Rhinolophus ferrumequinum: one gene and its partner. The protein of the gene in region 2 purifies or fractionates together with the protein of the main gene of each other region. This does not show direct contact. Links are inferred from orthologs where the notes say so. Each region holds a gene or a part of one and is shown on either strand. Other genes may lie near its edges.

Region 1 (8,248 bases), on a different chromosome or scaffold from region 2:
ACTGAAAGTCCATCTCCTCTCTGGAGCCTTCAGCTAGTCCTCTGCATTGATGGTCCAGCTTTCCCGAGCTGGCCATTCTCTTCTCCTCTCCTGGGGGTTGTACTCAAGCCCCTGAAGCCACAGCCACTATAACGCTGCCCCCTGCCCCAGGGCTAGCACTTTCCTGATAGATGGCTGAAGGACCATAGAAAGACCCCATCCTGACTTCCGCCAAGCATCCAGATCAGCCCCTGCCTTTCTGGGGGGAAGGGGTGCATATCCCAAACCCCCGAATGGTATGGGGAACCACAAGGGCAGGTAAGACGACCCAGAGGCCTAGCCACAGCCCCCACCCCTCTCCCAACCTCTATGACTCCTTTCCTGAGCTCCCAGACTCTTCCAGGCTCTACCCTTTCTCCATCCTTCACATTCAGGGTCATTTTTGCAGTGAAGCCTCTTGTCTCTTATGACCACAGCCCCAGAAAAGCAGGGCACCTTCCACTCTCTCCACGCCATCCTGTTGCCCATCTGTGCCAGTGCCTGCACACACTGGGAGGGGGACCCCTGAGTGTTCATCTCTGCACCTGGCAGCTAACTGGCTGAGGAGTGAATGACCAAAACACATTGCCCATCCAGAGGGCCAGGCAGTCTGGACCCTGTGCTTTCCAGTTGATTAATAAACGCCTAAGTGACAGGTGTTTTTACAAACACTAGCTTTTTAAAAAAATTACCGCAACAGCCTGGAAGTAGAGACAGCAGATGGCATGATCCCTATTTTAAAGACAAGGAAATCAAGATGCTACCACCTGCCCAGGATTCACGGAGCCAGCCAGTGTCTCAGCCAAGATCCGAGGAGGCCAGGACTCTTCCCCCCAGAGCCTAACCTCCACATGCACACTGTCCTGGCAGCGCCAACATAAGAGGGCCAAGTACTGATCATCCAGCTTCTCATCCCCTTAACTTGCACCAACCACAATCCTGGGAGTTACCCTGCCTTCCTGTCTCTCCCTTACTCTGTCCCCAGGTCCCCCGGAACCTCCCTCCAGGACATCTAGAACAGGTCCCCTTCTTTCTACCCTTACAGCCACCCCTTTAGTCCAAGCTGTCATTTTTTCATTTGAATTCCAGCAGTGGATTCCTAGCTACCTCATACCTGCTTCCATCCTTGACCCGCTATAATTCCTTCTCTATACCTCAACCTGAGAGAACTTTTAAAACCTAAGTCACACTGTGTCCCTTGACTGCTTAATGCTCTTGAAAGGTTTCCCAATTTCCTGAGACTAAAACCCAAATGAACAAGGCGCAGAATGATCTGGCCTCTGCCTTCTCCACAGGCCTCTTCTGTCCCTCTCTCCTTCCCCATGAAGCTCCAGTCACATAGGTCTTCCCTCGATTGTCTCGTCACAACAAGATCTTTCCTACCTCAGGACCTTTGCACATGCAACCTCTCACCCTCCTCCCTTTTCTGGAGGTGGTACATTCCTTCCTGCGGGTCTTGGTTTAAATGTCATTTCCTCAGAATTCTTAACTGACCAATAGATAAGAAATCCCATTAAAAGCTATTAAAAGATCTTCCTTTGCTTTGGAGAACTTATCACAATGTGCAACAGATGTATGTGTGTTTCTGACTGTCTTCCTACTACACTAGGGCAGGGATCTTATCTGTTTTGTAGGACCTGTATCCTTGGCACCTAACATATTGCCTGGCACATAGTAGGCGTTTGATAACTTACCTATTAATGAATGAATACAAGAATGAGTCTGGGGAAGGGGTCCTTAAGGATTTCCTTTTTGTTCTCCTAGTCCAGTCTCTGCTACCTGGCAGAGAAGCGAGGAGGATGTCCTGAATGGGGGCTAAAGGATGGTCAGGCTTTTCCTGGGGCAAGGCCTGGCTGGGGTCTCCAAAGCCTATTCATTTCTTCAACAGATATTTACTAGGGTCCTACCATGGGGCTCCAGGAGGCAGACGGTTCCCTGCTCTGATTCTGTTCCACTGGAAGTCTCCATCCTTCCCTCCTGTGACCTCCCACCTCAGCACCCCAGACCAGCCTACCTGGGCCTCCCCAAGCCCCAGCTCGATGGCCTCCAGGGAGCGGCGCAGGAGCACACAGCGTTCCTGTGAGCCAGGCTCGGCCTCGCCGGCTTCATGAGCGACCAAAGGAGCGAGAAGGGCACGATGCTCTCCGCGCAGGGTCTCCAGCCCTTGGATGACTGCCTTGGTGCCCAGCACGATCTCATCCTGGCTCAGCTTCTCCTCTCGAGGAAGCACCATCGTGGCCATGGCCATGCCGCCTATAAAGGCGAGGGGGCGGGCAGGCGGGTGCCGAGCCTGGGACCACACCGCCGTCCGCCCGGATTAGGTAAACACCTCCGGTCCCCGGACGCCTGGATCCCCGGGGTGCCCTGTCCCCCAGCCGGCAGCCCGCACCGTGTCCGCGCTCGACCTACAGGGGGCGCGCCCAGCTTGTCTCGGCCCAGGAGACGCAATGCGGTGAGGCCGGACCGGGATTCGGCCCAGACCACCTGCTCAGACCAGCTTAGGCGGCCCAGTCTCGGGGCTTTCCCGGGGACTCTCAGCTAGGGCAGGGCGCACCGGAGGACGGTTCTACGGGGGGCTTAGGGGCTCACAGTCATTCGGGAGATCCCGACCCCTCCGGGAGGTCCAGCCCCAGCCCCTAGGGCAGCCCCCACCCTAACAGGCAGGCCGAGCCACAGGGCCCCTCCTTGTGGGCAGGCCAATCCTGGAGAGACGCTTCCCCTAGAAGATCTGAGATCTCGGCTTCTCCGTCACCCCAGGCCCCGCCCACGACGACCCTCCCCATAGGCGGGCGCAACGCCCTGTGGACCCTCCCCTGAAAAGGCCGAACGCCCGCCCCGGCCACTCAGGGCCGCGCCCCCTCCCCGTGGGTGGGCCTGGCCGCCCACAGGCCGCGCCCGCGACCACCCGTCCCCTAGGCCCAGCCAGAGGCCCTCTCCTGGCCCAGTCGGCCCGCGCAGACCTGTGCCTCTTTCTTGGGCCCGGCTCCAGCTCCCTCTGGCTCCGGCTCCCGTCCCGTTTCACTCGGACCGGCAGCCGTGAGCAGGTCCCGCCGCCTCCATCCCTCCGGCCTTCCCAACAGTCCCCGCGCCGCCTTAAAGGTGAAGCTGCTACCTCAGCGGCGTCGGAGGGGGCGAAACTCCCTCTTCTCCGCCTGCTGGCTGCCTTAAAGGAGCGCGCCAGCCGGGACTGCTCCCGGCAAGGAGTTGGGGAGGGTCGGGGCGTGGCCACCCGAGAGAGAGGGGCGTGACCACCAGGGGCGAGCGTGGGCTGGCGGCAGGCGCCCCTGCCCTGCTGCCTGGTCCACGCTCCTGCGTTCTCGGGTTCCTCAGTGGTAAAGCGCCCCGAGGCCGCAGAGGTGTGGAGAGGCTCAGGAGACTGTGAACCTGAACGCACCCAGTACCGCGTCGAGAGAGGAAGGCGTGAGAAACTGAGGCACAGAGAGCCGGCCCGGAGTCCACTGCGAGACCCTGGACGTTTATTGAGGGAGTTGCCACTTTCTAAGCAATGGTGTCAGGCGCCTTAAGTGGGTTAACTCAGTGAATGCTCGCAAAGACTTCATGAAATGGTCACCGCTGTTATCACAGCTCGCAGATCTGGCTGCCCTCAGGCTCATTTGTCTCTAGAGACTGGTTGCGCCTCCACCCAACTCGTTCGGAGCTGTTCATGACCCTGTAGGGGATTCACAACATCTTAGGGCTATTTCTTGGGGAGAAGGGACGGAGGCTTCTGACTGTAAGGGAGAAAAGGGTGGCACAGGGCAGCCGGGTATCTGCCAAAACAAAGACTCGTGCACCTGTGCTTGAACACCACAACAAATGCCTTTGGTGGGATGATCGAGACAAGGTGATGATGTCATTCGGGGCTCAGATGAAATGTCACCTCCACAGAGAGCCCTTCCTTGATTCCCACCCATGTACAGCTGCCCTCCAGTCCATCTCATGCACCCATTCAATTCTCTCTTAGCATTTATCCCTTCTAACACTTTTCCTGTCGGTTTTCTGTCTCTTCCCTAGAATGCAGGCCGAGCCCTGCCCATCTTGTCCACTCCCAGAGTAGCCCCTGGCCAGCCACACAGCAGCATTCAGTAAACGTTGGTTTTAAAAAAAGGGCAGAAGGGTGCACCTACTGGCTTTGCCAGGCCCCTGCCAGGCCTAGGTTTTGGTCTGGTGCTCTGCACCCCTGGATTGGTGGCTACCCTGGCACTGCCCCTACTGCAGGGCATCTAGGTCGATGTCACTAGTGGGTGACAGCAGGATAACCACCCCGAAGGACAAAACCTGCACACGCTCCTTGGTATCATCTCTGACACAGAGACGGCCCTGTGCCCCTAGCTCGAGTTCGCCCTGTGACAGGGAGCTCACTACCTTTTACTGAGAGAGTAAAGATTAGAACGTTGTTCCTTAGATGGCCCCCAAAGGACCTTCCTGCAGTGCTCTGAAGCTCTGTCTCCAGGAAGAACAGTCTGCTCCCTTTTGCCAATAAAGATATTTAGAGGCCATAATGGTCTCCTTGCCTGTCCCTTCACCCACTCCTGGCCCAGTTTCCTGCCCCTTCTCCATCCTGATTTCTTCTTTCTGGGTGTAGTTTAGCGTGTCAGTCCGGACACTGCTTAGAATGTGGTGCACAGTCGAGGGCCCAAGAAACCAGCCGGGAGCGGTCTGCACAGATCACAGAGGGATGGGCCCCTCTCGATGACTATGCTACCTGTCTACCATGAACTTGAAAATCAGCCTGGCGGCCACCACACTGTGTCTGCGCAGGGTAAGCTTGTCAGCTGAAACCCTAGATTGCGTGCATCCCCATTGTATCCAGCCAGGTTCTTCTCCCCGATCCTGTGCTTCTGCCAATGATTTCCCCCCAGTGATGGAAAGGTAACTAAGACAGCCATGGGATGCAAAATTCGAAAGGCATCTACAAGTTATAGTGAAATAGAGGTCCTCCTTTCTGGCCACTATCCTCAGCCATGCAGCTCCCCTGCCCAGAGGCACCTGCTAGTACCAGTTTTTGTGCCCTTTCATTAGGTGGTTTGCATCAGTGCAGAGCTTGTGGTCACCCTTCTCAGTTTCTTCTGGTCGGTTTTCCTCTGGGGTCCTGAAGATTGGAATCTTTCGTGTTTTCTTTTTTTTTTTTTTTTTGGGGGGGGTGGGTCTGTCGTCCTCCAGCTCTATCTCCCAGAGGTGCTCTGGCTGCTGTGTGATGAGCCCGCCTCTGGGCATGGAGTCTCCATCAGTTCATGATCGCACTCCCAACTTGCCTGCACATCTACAGGGAGGAAACAGAAGCTGGAACCCAGGGCATCTTTGTCACTCTTAACTAGGCTGGGTTTCAGAATCTCTCACAAAGACACTGTTAGAAGGCTCTCTTTCTAGAGATTGGGATTCGGTGGTGCCAGGGTGGGTCCTGGGCATGTCTTATTTTAAAACTTCAGTGGTGCCCAGGATGTTCATCCTCAGTTGAAAGCCCTTGCTTTATTTTACAAGTAAGGACACAGGCCCAGGGAGGGGAAGGCAGCTGCATGAGGTTCCTGGCAAGCTCAGGCTCCTAGTGACCACTGGTCATTTTGTTCCAGTGGATAAGGGACACTGACCTCATGGAGTAGCGGTCAAGAGAACCAAAGTCAAGTGCTTGTTCACACCTGCCTGAAAGTACAGTTGCTCAGAGCCTCAGGCAGATTCACCCAGAGGCACTGAATGAACCCCTGTGTGCCACATGCACACCTCCGCGTGTGTGTTTTTAGGCTCAAGTAAGTGCAAACCACACATGGCCACACACAAACACACGACCACAACCCCTGCTTTCTTCTCTGCGCGTCCCCTCTGTCTGATAAAGGAGTACATTCCTTTTATCATCTTTTACCAGGTAAATGGAAAGAACATTTTTCAGTCTCCGGTTTGCTGGGTTTTTGCTCTAGCTTTTCTGCCAACATCCCTGTAGGTGTTGTAGTTTCTCTGAGATTCTCTTTAGGCAGCTGGCCCAGCTCCTCCCCCTGTGCCTGGTGTAGGGAAGGCCGTTCTCAGGCTCTTATCTTGATTTCAGTGCTCGACCTTGCATATGTTCAAACCTTTTCAACTACCCAGCTTTTTATCTTGTCTCTGAAGATTGTACTGTGTGTCTCCCGCAGGAAGGACTGTTACTTCATCCGCTCTGTTCTGTACCCCCACCCCTGCCCCGCCTGGGCAGCTGCTGGGCAGCCAGGCGGCTGATGGATGCCCAGTTAACAGAGGGTCAAGGAAGGAGCCCATGCTCAGTGGTGATTCGGCTCCTCATCCCATTTTCCACAGGGCTTCACAGGCTTGCCCCTGCTGGTCCCCAGCCTGGGAAATCGTTGCTACTTTTAACATTGTTTTCTCCCTGAAAATCACTCCCACTGCTCCGACCCTTCCCCTTGGATCCTTGGAAGCACACATCCCCCTGAAGTCTGCTTTCTTAAATGATTCTTTTCCCCCCTTGGCAGCTTCACTCCTTTTCTTTGAAATGGCCTGGGAGCACTTTCACTAAGCAGTCAGCGAGTTCACTCATAAACGCCCAAGATTGGAGGCTCCTTAAAGATGTCTCCCCATGTGATGCACAGCTCCCCACTTCCTGAGGGGCCTGTCCCACTGTGAACACCTCTGGTTGTCAGTTCTTTCTGCTACTGAACCAAGAATCGAGTCTCTTCAGAGCTCCTCCAGAGGCTCCTGGTTCCTGTCTTGGCAGTCACGTGGCAAATCTGCACTGTCTCTTCCTTGTGGCCTCCCAGCCAGACTAGAAGTGTCCCCCATCCCCACCCCACCCTGCTAGCGGGAGGGCACATAAGCTTTGGGGTTACACGAAGGTAAGTTCAAAGCTGCGTTTCTCCATCTGCCAGCTGTGCAGACATAGGCGTGCTATCCACCTGTTTCCTTATATGTAGGATGAGTTTCTTAATATTTACCTTGTTGGGTCCTCAAGAGAACAGAATAAACAGCAGAGTTCAGATCTTAACATTACACTTTGTACATAACAGAGACTATTACTAGTAGTTATTTATTATTACCATCAAGCTCACTGTTGGACAGATCTTGTGCAAGTGAATGGAGAGTGAGGAGAAAAAATATGACACATAGGGCAATGTCTGCTTATGGTGGTGTTGGAGAGAAAACACATTCAGAATGAAAGCGAACAACAAATGAGGCAGTGCAAAGAAGAAGAGTGAGTCTAAGATGTTTGATGCTGGCAGTAGATGCCCTATGTCAGGGGTGTCCAGACTTTTTTCAATGTTTTTTACCAAGGGCCATATGCGATAAAATACACAAACAGCCGGGCCACTCACTCGAGGTGAAGTATGTATTGCCTCACCTGGTTTATTTAAATAAACTAAATATATTTTTGGAATTTGCTGCGGGCCAATTAACAATGGATTGCGGGCCGCAGTTGGCCTGCGGGCCACAGTTTGGACACCCCTGCCCTACGTGGTCAAGGACAGAGGGAGATTAGTCCGGCCGGGGCTTATCTGACCCTTTCTCTAAGGTCAGTTCTCCCACATGCTAAAGAAGCCCAACCCTCCACCAGCCCAGATCACTCCCCTGAGCTCCATCCAGATCCATCCAGATATATTTAACTCCAGTTGGACGCCTACCTCTGAAGAGCACATATCCCCCTTGCCCAAAAGCCACCCAAGTCTCCTCTGAGATGTTCCACCATCTGCCCGTTCATCTATGGCAGGCTGCCAGTCGTAATCCTCAATTCTCTCTCTTTCGACCCTCTTTCCTAACCAGCCACTGAAACCTAATGATTCTACCTCCGAAGTAGGATTCAAGTCCCCATTTCCCCCACCTCTTATACCCGTGCCTTAATCAATGTCTGGGCCACATCTTTTCTAAATTGCTGCAACACCCTCCTAACTCCTCGAGTCTCCAGTCTCGTTTCCTCCCATGTGATCTTTCTAACGTCCATCATCTCACCTTTCTGCATAAAACCCTTTCTTGGCTCTCCACTGATCTCAGGGTCAAGTGCACAGTCCTTGCTCTGGCACAGACACAGCTACAACGCTCTTCAGTGCCCTGGCCTCTTCCTTTCTCCTCCGCCCTGTCACTCACCATCCCCATCCCTTTTCAGCCACATTAACCCAAGTGTATGACTGTCTGACAATTAAGTTCCTGAACCTGCTGCAACAATGTTCCTAACCTTTTTTTGATATCAGAGGGATTCTTTTTTTTTTTTTTTTTTCAATTTGTACCAACTGGACGAACAGTTAACCAAGTTTACTAT
Region 2 (8,188 bases):
AGAACCCACTTAACCATTGGGAGACCTGAGGGAGGGAGAACGGGCAGTACATACTTGAATGAAGGCAGGAGGGAGGGAGGGAGGGAAAGAGAAAGAGAGAGAAAGAAGTGTGTGTGTGTGTGTGTGTGTGTGTGTGTGTGTGTGTGTGTGTGTGCTTCCCTACTGTCACCTTTCCCACATCGGGTATAGATGTAGCAGCCCGGACAGCAGGCAGCGAGACACTCTGACCACCAAGATTAAAAACGAGAGACATTTAAATGGGTCCAGTGAATAAGTCACAGTGGATTCTGAGTGACACAAAGAGCAAAACAAGGTACAGAGCACACACAGACTGACCTGGACACTCTTCTACTATGACTCAGGCCATTAACTTTGGCTAAGCCCCATCCCCCAGATTCCTGGGAGAAGTCAGGGGAGTGGGCGAGGGATAAGGTTCACAGAGCTGTCTCTCTAGCTTATTCTCCCATCCTTTGCCAAGCAGAAAAAACCCATAAACATTAGGAACTCTGAAGCCCAGAGCCAGCCGCAGTGCTGCAGAAGCAGAGAAGAGAGCCATTAGAGAAAGGAGCAGGGGCTGGATGTGGAGAGATCACCCTCTCCCACCTTCCCTCTTCCCTCACCTTCCCAGACATCCTGAAGCAGCTTCCTCCATTAATTCCTCAGACAGTTTCCCACACACTGGGCCCCAAAGGGAGCTAGAGCATGAAAGAGAAAAGCGGGTAGGCAATTTCCTTCCCTTGTTGGGAACCTCAAGGGTCTCCTCAAAAATCACTTCTCCTATAGCCCTCATCCTCCTGAATGAGGAATGAATAGTAAGGTGGGGAAGATAAGCTCTAAGGATGCTGCCTGAGACAAAATGCCCCCCTCCACCCCGCCATGCGCCTTTATCTTGGAGTAAGAGATTGACAGGAAGGGCTAGGGCAAGGGGAGACAGAGAGTGAGACAAAGGTACAGCCCTACAAATATCAGGCGAAACAGGCAGGGAAGAACCAGCTGTGGAGCTAAGACAGAATCTGAACTGGCAGCGGGCCTTGGGCCTCCCCTCAGCTCTCCTCCTACCCCACCTTCCACAGTGTCTCTCCTGTTTAGCTGGGCAAATTGGAAAGATCAACACTACAACTCCTTCTCCCAACATCATCCCATGTCCCATGCTCGCCAGGCCAGGATGAACGGCCCAGAGAGTCTGGAGTTGGTTTAGACTTACCTGAAAAACTTATAGCAAGGAAGTTGGGCTTAAAAGTAGAAGCCTTTTGTGGATTTACTCACCCACCTCCCTTCTGTTTTTCAGCCTTTATATCTCAGAGGGACCTCAAGCTCCAACTATTCTCATAGTTAATGCCTGCTATCCAGACTACTCAGAGAGGAGGCCCCTAGGGTTGATCCACTGACCAGTGTAAGGCCTAAGGTCCCTGAGGCAGAGAGAGATAGGGGCCCTCTTTAGGTGGCGAACACACACATTCATAAGCACACACATGGCAAAAGTACCCATTTGAGTTCACAGTGTGGGTGAGAGAGTTCAACGTGGTGACAGACTGGGGCCCTTGAGGACAGGACATGTAAGCAGGTCTCTTACTAAGGCGTGTTTAAAGTCCCATTCTCACTGATTCAGAATGCCCAGGCTCCCTCCTCTTCTTTCCTTCATTCCTTTAACAAGCATGTCTTGGGCCAAGCACTGTAGATCAAAGATACATAAGAAGTGCCCCTGACCTTGAGGGCTGCCCTCATATGTGCCCCTCCCTTCTCAAACTGGCTACTGTTTCCTGGCCTAGAACCCCTCAAGCCCTACTGGACTCAACCCCAATCCTTTCACCCCATAGCCTGACAATCCCTACCAACCTAGCAAAGGAGGGATAGGTGAGAAATTCCCTTTGGGCCATCACAGATAAAGGTCCAGGCAATGTGACACAGGAAAAGACATGAGTTTTGCAGTCACAGATTTAGGTTCATATCCGTGAATTAACAGTGTGACCTTGATAAAGTCATTCAACTTCTTTGGACCTCAATTTCCTCATCTGTAAAATGGAAATATTAATGCTTACTTCAGAGTGTTGTTTTGAGGGTTAAATAATAAATGTAGAGTCACAAGCACACAGTAAACATTACTTTTCCTTCTTCATAAGATCTCCTCCATGGGGCTGTCATGATGAGGTAGAGGTGGCTTGCTAATTTTTATTGGATCATCAAGAGAAAGGATGAATAAGCAAGTACTTGTTAGGATCTCGGGGTCTGGTTATTTTTATTTGTTAGGGGGAGTTGGGTGGGTCTGAAATCCTCTTCCTACTGTACCTGGGAGAGAAAGGCAGACATTTCCTTAGGACCCCAGTGGCTCCCCACCAAAAAAACCTGGGTGTGTCATCAATGTATTTCGTTCTCAGAAAACCCTTCATCAGATCTGTGCTCTCCCCACCCAAGTCCAGGCTTTAACTACTTCAAGAGATGATGGAGGGTTTGGTCCCAGAGCCCATTCTCTTACACCTCCGCAGAGACCCTGGACTGCCCACCTTCGATCTAGTCCATCCACTAGTCTCCCCCCCCCCCTTCTGGGAGGTGGGGGTAGAGATCTGAGCCAATAACAAAGGGAAGATGCGCTTCCTCTAGGGGAGAGGGAAAACATCAGAAAAACATGGGACTGACTCTAAGGGGTGGGGACGCTGCAGAGGGCAGCAAAGGGGAGTTGGGTGACCTGATCGCGGGGAAGTAGCCCCCTCCCACTCTGCGGAACCTGGGCCTCGGGCCTGGCCAGGCCACACCCAGCCATCCTGATGCTGGGGAGAGGAGGGGCTGCGGCGAAAAGGATGGAGGATGAGCGGCGAGGAGGAGGCGCAGAGTGACAAACAGGGGTTAAGGCCCAGCGACGGGTAGGATTCAACCTCCCGTCCCCTCCCCGAAATTCCCTCCCGCGGCGGCACTCACCCCAATAACGACGCTGTCGTCCCCTTGGAAAATGGGAATGAACTTGTCCCCCCGCAGAATCTCGGCCTGGTTCAGGGGCCGAAATCGGCAGAGCACCTTGATGCTACATTCGTTGTTGGTCTCTGCCATGGTGGTCGCAGGCTTGGGGCTGGGCACTTCTTGGGCGGAAGGGATGGTGCGTGCTCCGGGGGCGGGAGCTCAGCAGAGGCCGAGTCGGAGGGCAGGTGCTCGGTCTCTGGGGCCGAGAAAGCTCTGGGAGCGCCGGGATGAAGGCTGGGGAGCACTTCCTCTCTCCTGCTGCAGCGGGATGCTGGCGACTTAAGGCGTCTGGTCCTCTCGCGGAGCTCTGCCTCTCCGCCCCTCGCGCTGCAGCGCCGCGCTGCGGGCCTGGGCGGGGCGGCGACCGAGAAGAGGGGCGGGGCTTCCCTCGCGAGGCGCCTGGTGCTGGGTGTCCACCTTAGAGTGGTGGCACCTTTCCTCTCTTCTTGCCTTCTCTCCCCACCCCTGACTCTCGAAGATGAGCTTGCCCTCACCCCTTCCCCACCCAAGTCACTGACTGCATGCCTTACCTGTCTGTCCCTCCTTCAGACTCCACTCCTCTGGAAGGAATAAGGGGTCTGCAGTGGGCCTGTTGCCTGTCTAGGGGACAGAATCATCAGCACTTCCACCTCCTTTACCCCAGGTCATCCTCCACCCCCGTCACAATCCTCTTTCCAAATTGGGAGAACACTTCTCATTCCCTCTCCCCACACTCCTGGCACTGATTTCCAATCCACTCGACCTTCAAGGGCAGCTGCCTGTGCCCTTATGGAGGTGGGTGTCCAAGTCCCATTTTTCATTGAGGAGTATCAGGGTATGTCTGGCTATTTCCCTCCCCTCTACATTCAGAGGTGCACTCCACTCTGTCCCCAACATACATGCCAGGCCTCCGATTTGAAGGAAGACGAACTCCCATTCTGGGCTGTCAGAATTCAAAAAGAGATAAGACTCTCATTTTTGCCTCGTAGGTTAGGCTTGGGATGGAGGTGGGCAGGAGTAACTTTTGCAAGAGAAAGGGAGTCAGAAAGCAGTGAAGAGGGGGTAGGGATGGGAATGCGGAAGGTCAGAGGGACTATAACATTGGCCTTCTAGGGCAGACATCTGCATTTGGGTTTTAGGCAGGTGTAGGCACCTATGTGAGTGTGTTTCCTGTTGCAGTCACTATTGGACAGAGTTCCTACACCCCAGCCCCTTTCTTCAGGTCTCTTTTCTGTTTCTCTCCCTTACCTGCAAAACAAAACAAAACAAAACAACAACAACAACAAAAAACAAGCCTAGAGATTCCTTGTCCTTCCTCCCCTTAGGTCAGACTCGTGCTGCAGCTCCTGGGCAGAACCATCTAGAAACTGGCTGAATTGATTTTTCTCCACATTACAGGCCTCTGCTGGCCAACAGAGTTAGACTGCAGGAGTCGAGGCTCTAGGCCAAGGGATGGAGCAGGATGATGGGAGAAGGGAGGAGGGGATGGAGGTTCTGCCTAGTTATTGTCTAAGGTCACTTAGACACTATGAGGCAAGAGGAGAGAATGACAGCCTGGCCAGAAAAGACCTAACCACTCAGAACTCAGCTGAGAAGGTTTCCCAAATTGGACCTATACCTCTAACCTACCTTGAATCTTAAGGACACTGAAGGAAAAGGGTCCAGCATAAGAAACTGAATGGGAAAGCAGTAGGACTATGGAAAAGGAGGGGTTGAGGTCTGGGGAGGAGCCAGGAAAGTATGCATAGAATGACAGTGAGTTCCAAACTCAGGAAAATAGGCATCTCTCTAGTCACTTGGTCTGGCACTATTTCTAAGTGTTGCAGCATCCTGCAAGCTCAGAGAACATCCTGGGAAACATCCCAACCTCAGGCCCCCAAGGGCTCCAGGGTGGCTCCAGTGAAGAAGTTTCAAAATGCTAGTCCATGGAGAGTCGCTGGTCAGAGATAAAAGTTTATGGATAAGCACCGCCCCTCTCCCCAAATTAAAAAAAAAACACCACAGTGTGGTTTTTCATAAATCAGGATTTACTAAGTTTCGAAGGACTGTCTTTTTCTGAGAGTATATCCTTCCTACTTTTCTACTTAGAAATGATGGCAATAGTAAGTAGTAGGTTTTCTTTTTTTTCTTTTTAATGTGCTTACTTGGCAAAATGAAGGTAACAATACTGTATCTGTCCTCGCAAACTTTTTGTTGTTGTTTTAATTTTATTGAACTATTAAATTCAAAAGTCTGAAATGGCTAAGAGAACAGAGGATACTCAGATGTAGAGCCACCATTTACCTATTTATGAACTTAACATAGGATTGCCAGGTTTGAAAAACAAAAACAAGATGCCCAGTTAAATTTGAATTTCAGATTTAAAAAAAACACACTAATATATTTTGTGTTATTATGTCCCAAATATGGTGTGAGACATACTTATACTAAAAAAAATTATTAGTTGCTTATCTGAAATTCATATTTAACTAGCGTCCTGTATTTTATATGACAGCTCTAAATTGAGACAATTGCTTCACTTTTTCATTCTAAACGTGACTGAGGCTTTATTAAAGTTTACTTGTTGTTGCTGTTATTGTTGTTTTTGAAGTCTTGGCTGTGCCCCAACATGCCTAGTTGTGTTATGTTTATCTAGTCATTTAACTTCTGGAAGTGCAAATTTATTCATTTGAAAAACAGGAATTATAAAAGCTCTTTTCACAGACGATGTGAAAATTAAAGAAAATAAGTTGAATGCAATAACTCCCATCACTAAGTGGCCTGAGATGGGGATGTCGCCTCCCGCCCAATACCGGGTCGGCCAAGACTACATATCCAACAATCCTATGCGGCGTCCCTCCCCCCGCCGCCCCGCCATTACCTCATTCCCTGGCCTCGTTCTCGCCAACCCTCGCCTCTCCAGGGGTGTGGTAGCGGGCTGTTCTCGCGACTTTTGCTTTACCCTTCTCCTGTGCTACTGCTGTCGCGAGACTTCCTGCTTCTCCGCCTCCTCCGCCGCTCCCTTTGCCGCCGCCTTAACCCGGGACCCGGACCCAGCCTCTCCCCTACCCGAACACCGGCCCCGGCTCCGCCGAGTCCCCGGTCCCCCAACCCCGCCTCGCCGCCGCCATGGCGGACCCTAAATACGCCGACCTTCCCGGCATTGTGAGTACAGGGCCGGCCCCGGGTCCCCAGGACCGCGCCCCCAACCTCCTAAGGACCCCCAACAGACACCAACCCGTGACCCCTCCCGCCTGCAGCCCCTCCTCCGCCCCCGGGCTCCCGCGGCTCGCTCCCGGACGGGCCGCAGCATCTTCCGGACTCCTCTGACCCGACTGGGCCGGGCTTTGGGACGGCCTACCAGGCCCCTCTTCCGGCAGTCGCCGGTTTCTCGGCCCAGAAATTGTCTCCGGGCCCTTACCATTTGTGGTCGAGTGTTTGCCATCCGTGTCAGCACCACCCGTGTCTCCCCAAACCTCCCATCCCCACCCCAGAAACACATACCAGGCTATTTAGTGATGGCCTTTATCCTGCCAAGGCAGAACCCTTCTTGTGCCAGATGGAGAACTGTCCTGGGAGTGTCCACCCCAACCCCAACCTACCTCTCACATGCCGTCATGTACCCTTTTCTGCTGTCCTGCCTGCATTCTTGGAGTGGGGGTTGGGTCACAGGATCATGGGTACTAAGGTCCTGAGTCACTCTAAACCCTTGTGCCAGGGTAGTGGTGTATAGAACCTGATTCAAGGATAGTCCTTCTACCTTTGCCATCATGATTGCCAAAGACCCACCCCCCTTCAGATTCAGGGTAACATCTTTGTCATCACTTACACTCACCATTGACCATCAGGTCCCAGTTGTCCCACTCTTAGCCCCATTCTTCTAAGTCATGGGAACTGATGTGCATTTAACCGGGCAGGTGGAAGAGAAGGGACAGAATCCTGGCATCACAACCTGCCCTCTCTGTTAACTTGTTCGAATGGAATAGGGTCAGGGGTGTTGGTGGATGCTCCGTAGTGAAGCTGGGTGGTCACTGCTTCTACCTGCAGGCCAGGAACGAGCCAGATGTGTACGAAACCAGCGACCTCCCTGAGGATGACCAAGCGGAGTTTGATGCGGTAAGGCTGTGCTGCCTCGGGACTCCTCTGGGCTCTGACCTTCCTCCCTCAGGCAGGCCCTTTCCCATTTCTGGGGGCCACAGCAATAAGCGGGTATGCCAACCCAGCCTGGGTGGTGTGTAGGTGGCGGCGCTTGCAGAGGCCTTGCTGGTCTTGCAGCTGCCAGTGAGCCGTGCCAGGAACTAATAAGACCTGATCCTTGACCTTTGAAATATCTCAAAACAGTTTTGGGACTAGTGATTTGGTTAAGCCCCTGGGTGCGAGCCGTGGTAATGAATCATGAAGCCGAAGCACTTATAAACTGCTAGAGGTTAGGACCTAGACCTTCTCATTCAAAAATATTTCATTTAATACATGTTCATTACCATCCTACCAAGAGCTAGACATGGAAGTATAGAGAAGAACTCTTTTATATGAATATCCAGTATCCGTTGGGCAAGGAGTAAGAAAATAATTTGAAGATTTTAGAAAGAAGAGAGACCTGGTCAGAACAAAACAAATTTGAGGCAGAACACAACTCTGATATCAGCATAGGTGAGGCCCTGGTAGCGCTCAGATCCAAGAAGAATTCTGAGGAGGAAGGAATTAGCTGTGGACCCATTTTAATGAGGGGAACCACTTAGCATTGTTTATTGAATATGTTCATTCTGTGTTGATTTTTTGTGTGTGTGCAATGCAGAGGAAGAAATGTCCCTACTCTCAAGGATCCCCCAGACTAATGGGGGAGTTAGGAAACATAGGAAACACGGAAGAAAAAATAAAATTGAGTGAATGAAAATCAACATAGTAAAAATTCTGTATGTAAGTGCTAAGGGGAACAAAGATCTATTACCATGTCTTGTAGGATGTGTTTTAGGTTCTGTTATTTCCAAAAAGAGCTGGGCTAGGGTTACATGGATGGTGTGAGAGCTCAATAAAGTTGCGACCAGGAGTCAGTGGGAACAGGCTCAGTATGTGTGTCTGTAAGTCCTTTGTCTGTGGGGCTCATTAGTTCTCGAGAATGCTGGTTGCTGGCTTACAATGTATGGCTTGGCGTACTCACTTATTCCTTATTTGGTTTCCCCCATGTGGAAGTGGTTCCTGCTTTGTGGGGTACACCTTCCCATCCCCTCTCTCAGTGGTGTGTGCCTTGTGGCTTCTGTACTTGCTGGCATGTCAGTCT

Evidence for each region.
Region 1: the proteins of KIF5A (region 2) and KLC2 purify together in Homo sapiens (affinity purification with western blotting; 3 studies listed by BioGRID and IntAct, with this or other methods). This does not show direct contact. The link is inferred for Rhinolophus ferrumequinum from reciprocal best matches to the Homo sapiens genes KIF5A and KLC2.

The regions. Positions count from the first base shown.
Region 1 is NC_046294.1:5,659,751-5,667,998, forward strand, and holds the start of KLC2 (kinesin light chain 2), read right to left. Parts: upstream 3,354-8,248; 5' UTR 2,979-3,353; intron 2,309-2,978; exon of another isoform or gene 2,272-2,308; 5' UTR 2,267-2,271; coding exon 2,033-2,266; intron 1-2,032. UniProt on the Homo sapiens protein: Kinesin is a microtubule-associated force-producing protein that plays a role in organelle transport. The light chain functions in coupling of cargo to the heavy chain or in the modulation of its ATPase activity.
Region 2 is NC_046293.1:56,514,330-56,522,517, reverse strand, and holds the start of KIF5A (kinesin heavy chain), read right to left. Parts: upstream 3,382-8,188; 5' UTR 3,043-3,381; coding exon 2,914-3,042; intron 1-2,913. Other genes in the region: DCTN2 (dynactin subunit 2), read left to right, coding at 6,040-6,075, 6,958-7,026. UniProt on the Homo sapiens protein: Microtubule-dependent motor required for slow axonal transport of neurofilament proteins (NFH, NFM and NFL). Can induce formation of neurite-like membrane protrusions in non-neuronal cells in a ZFYVE27-dependent manner.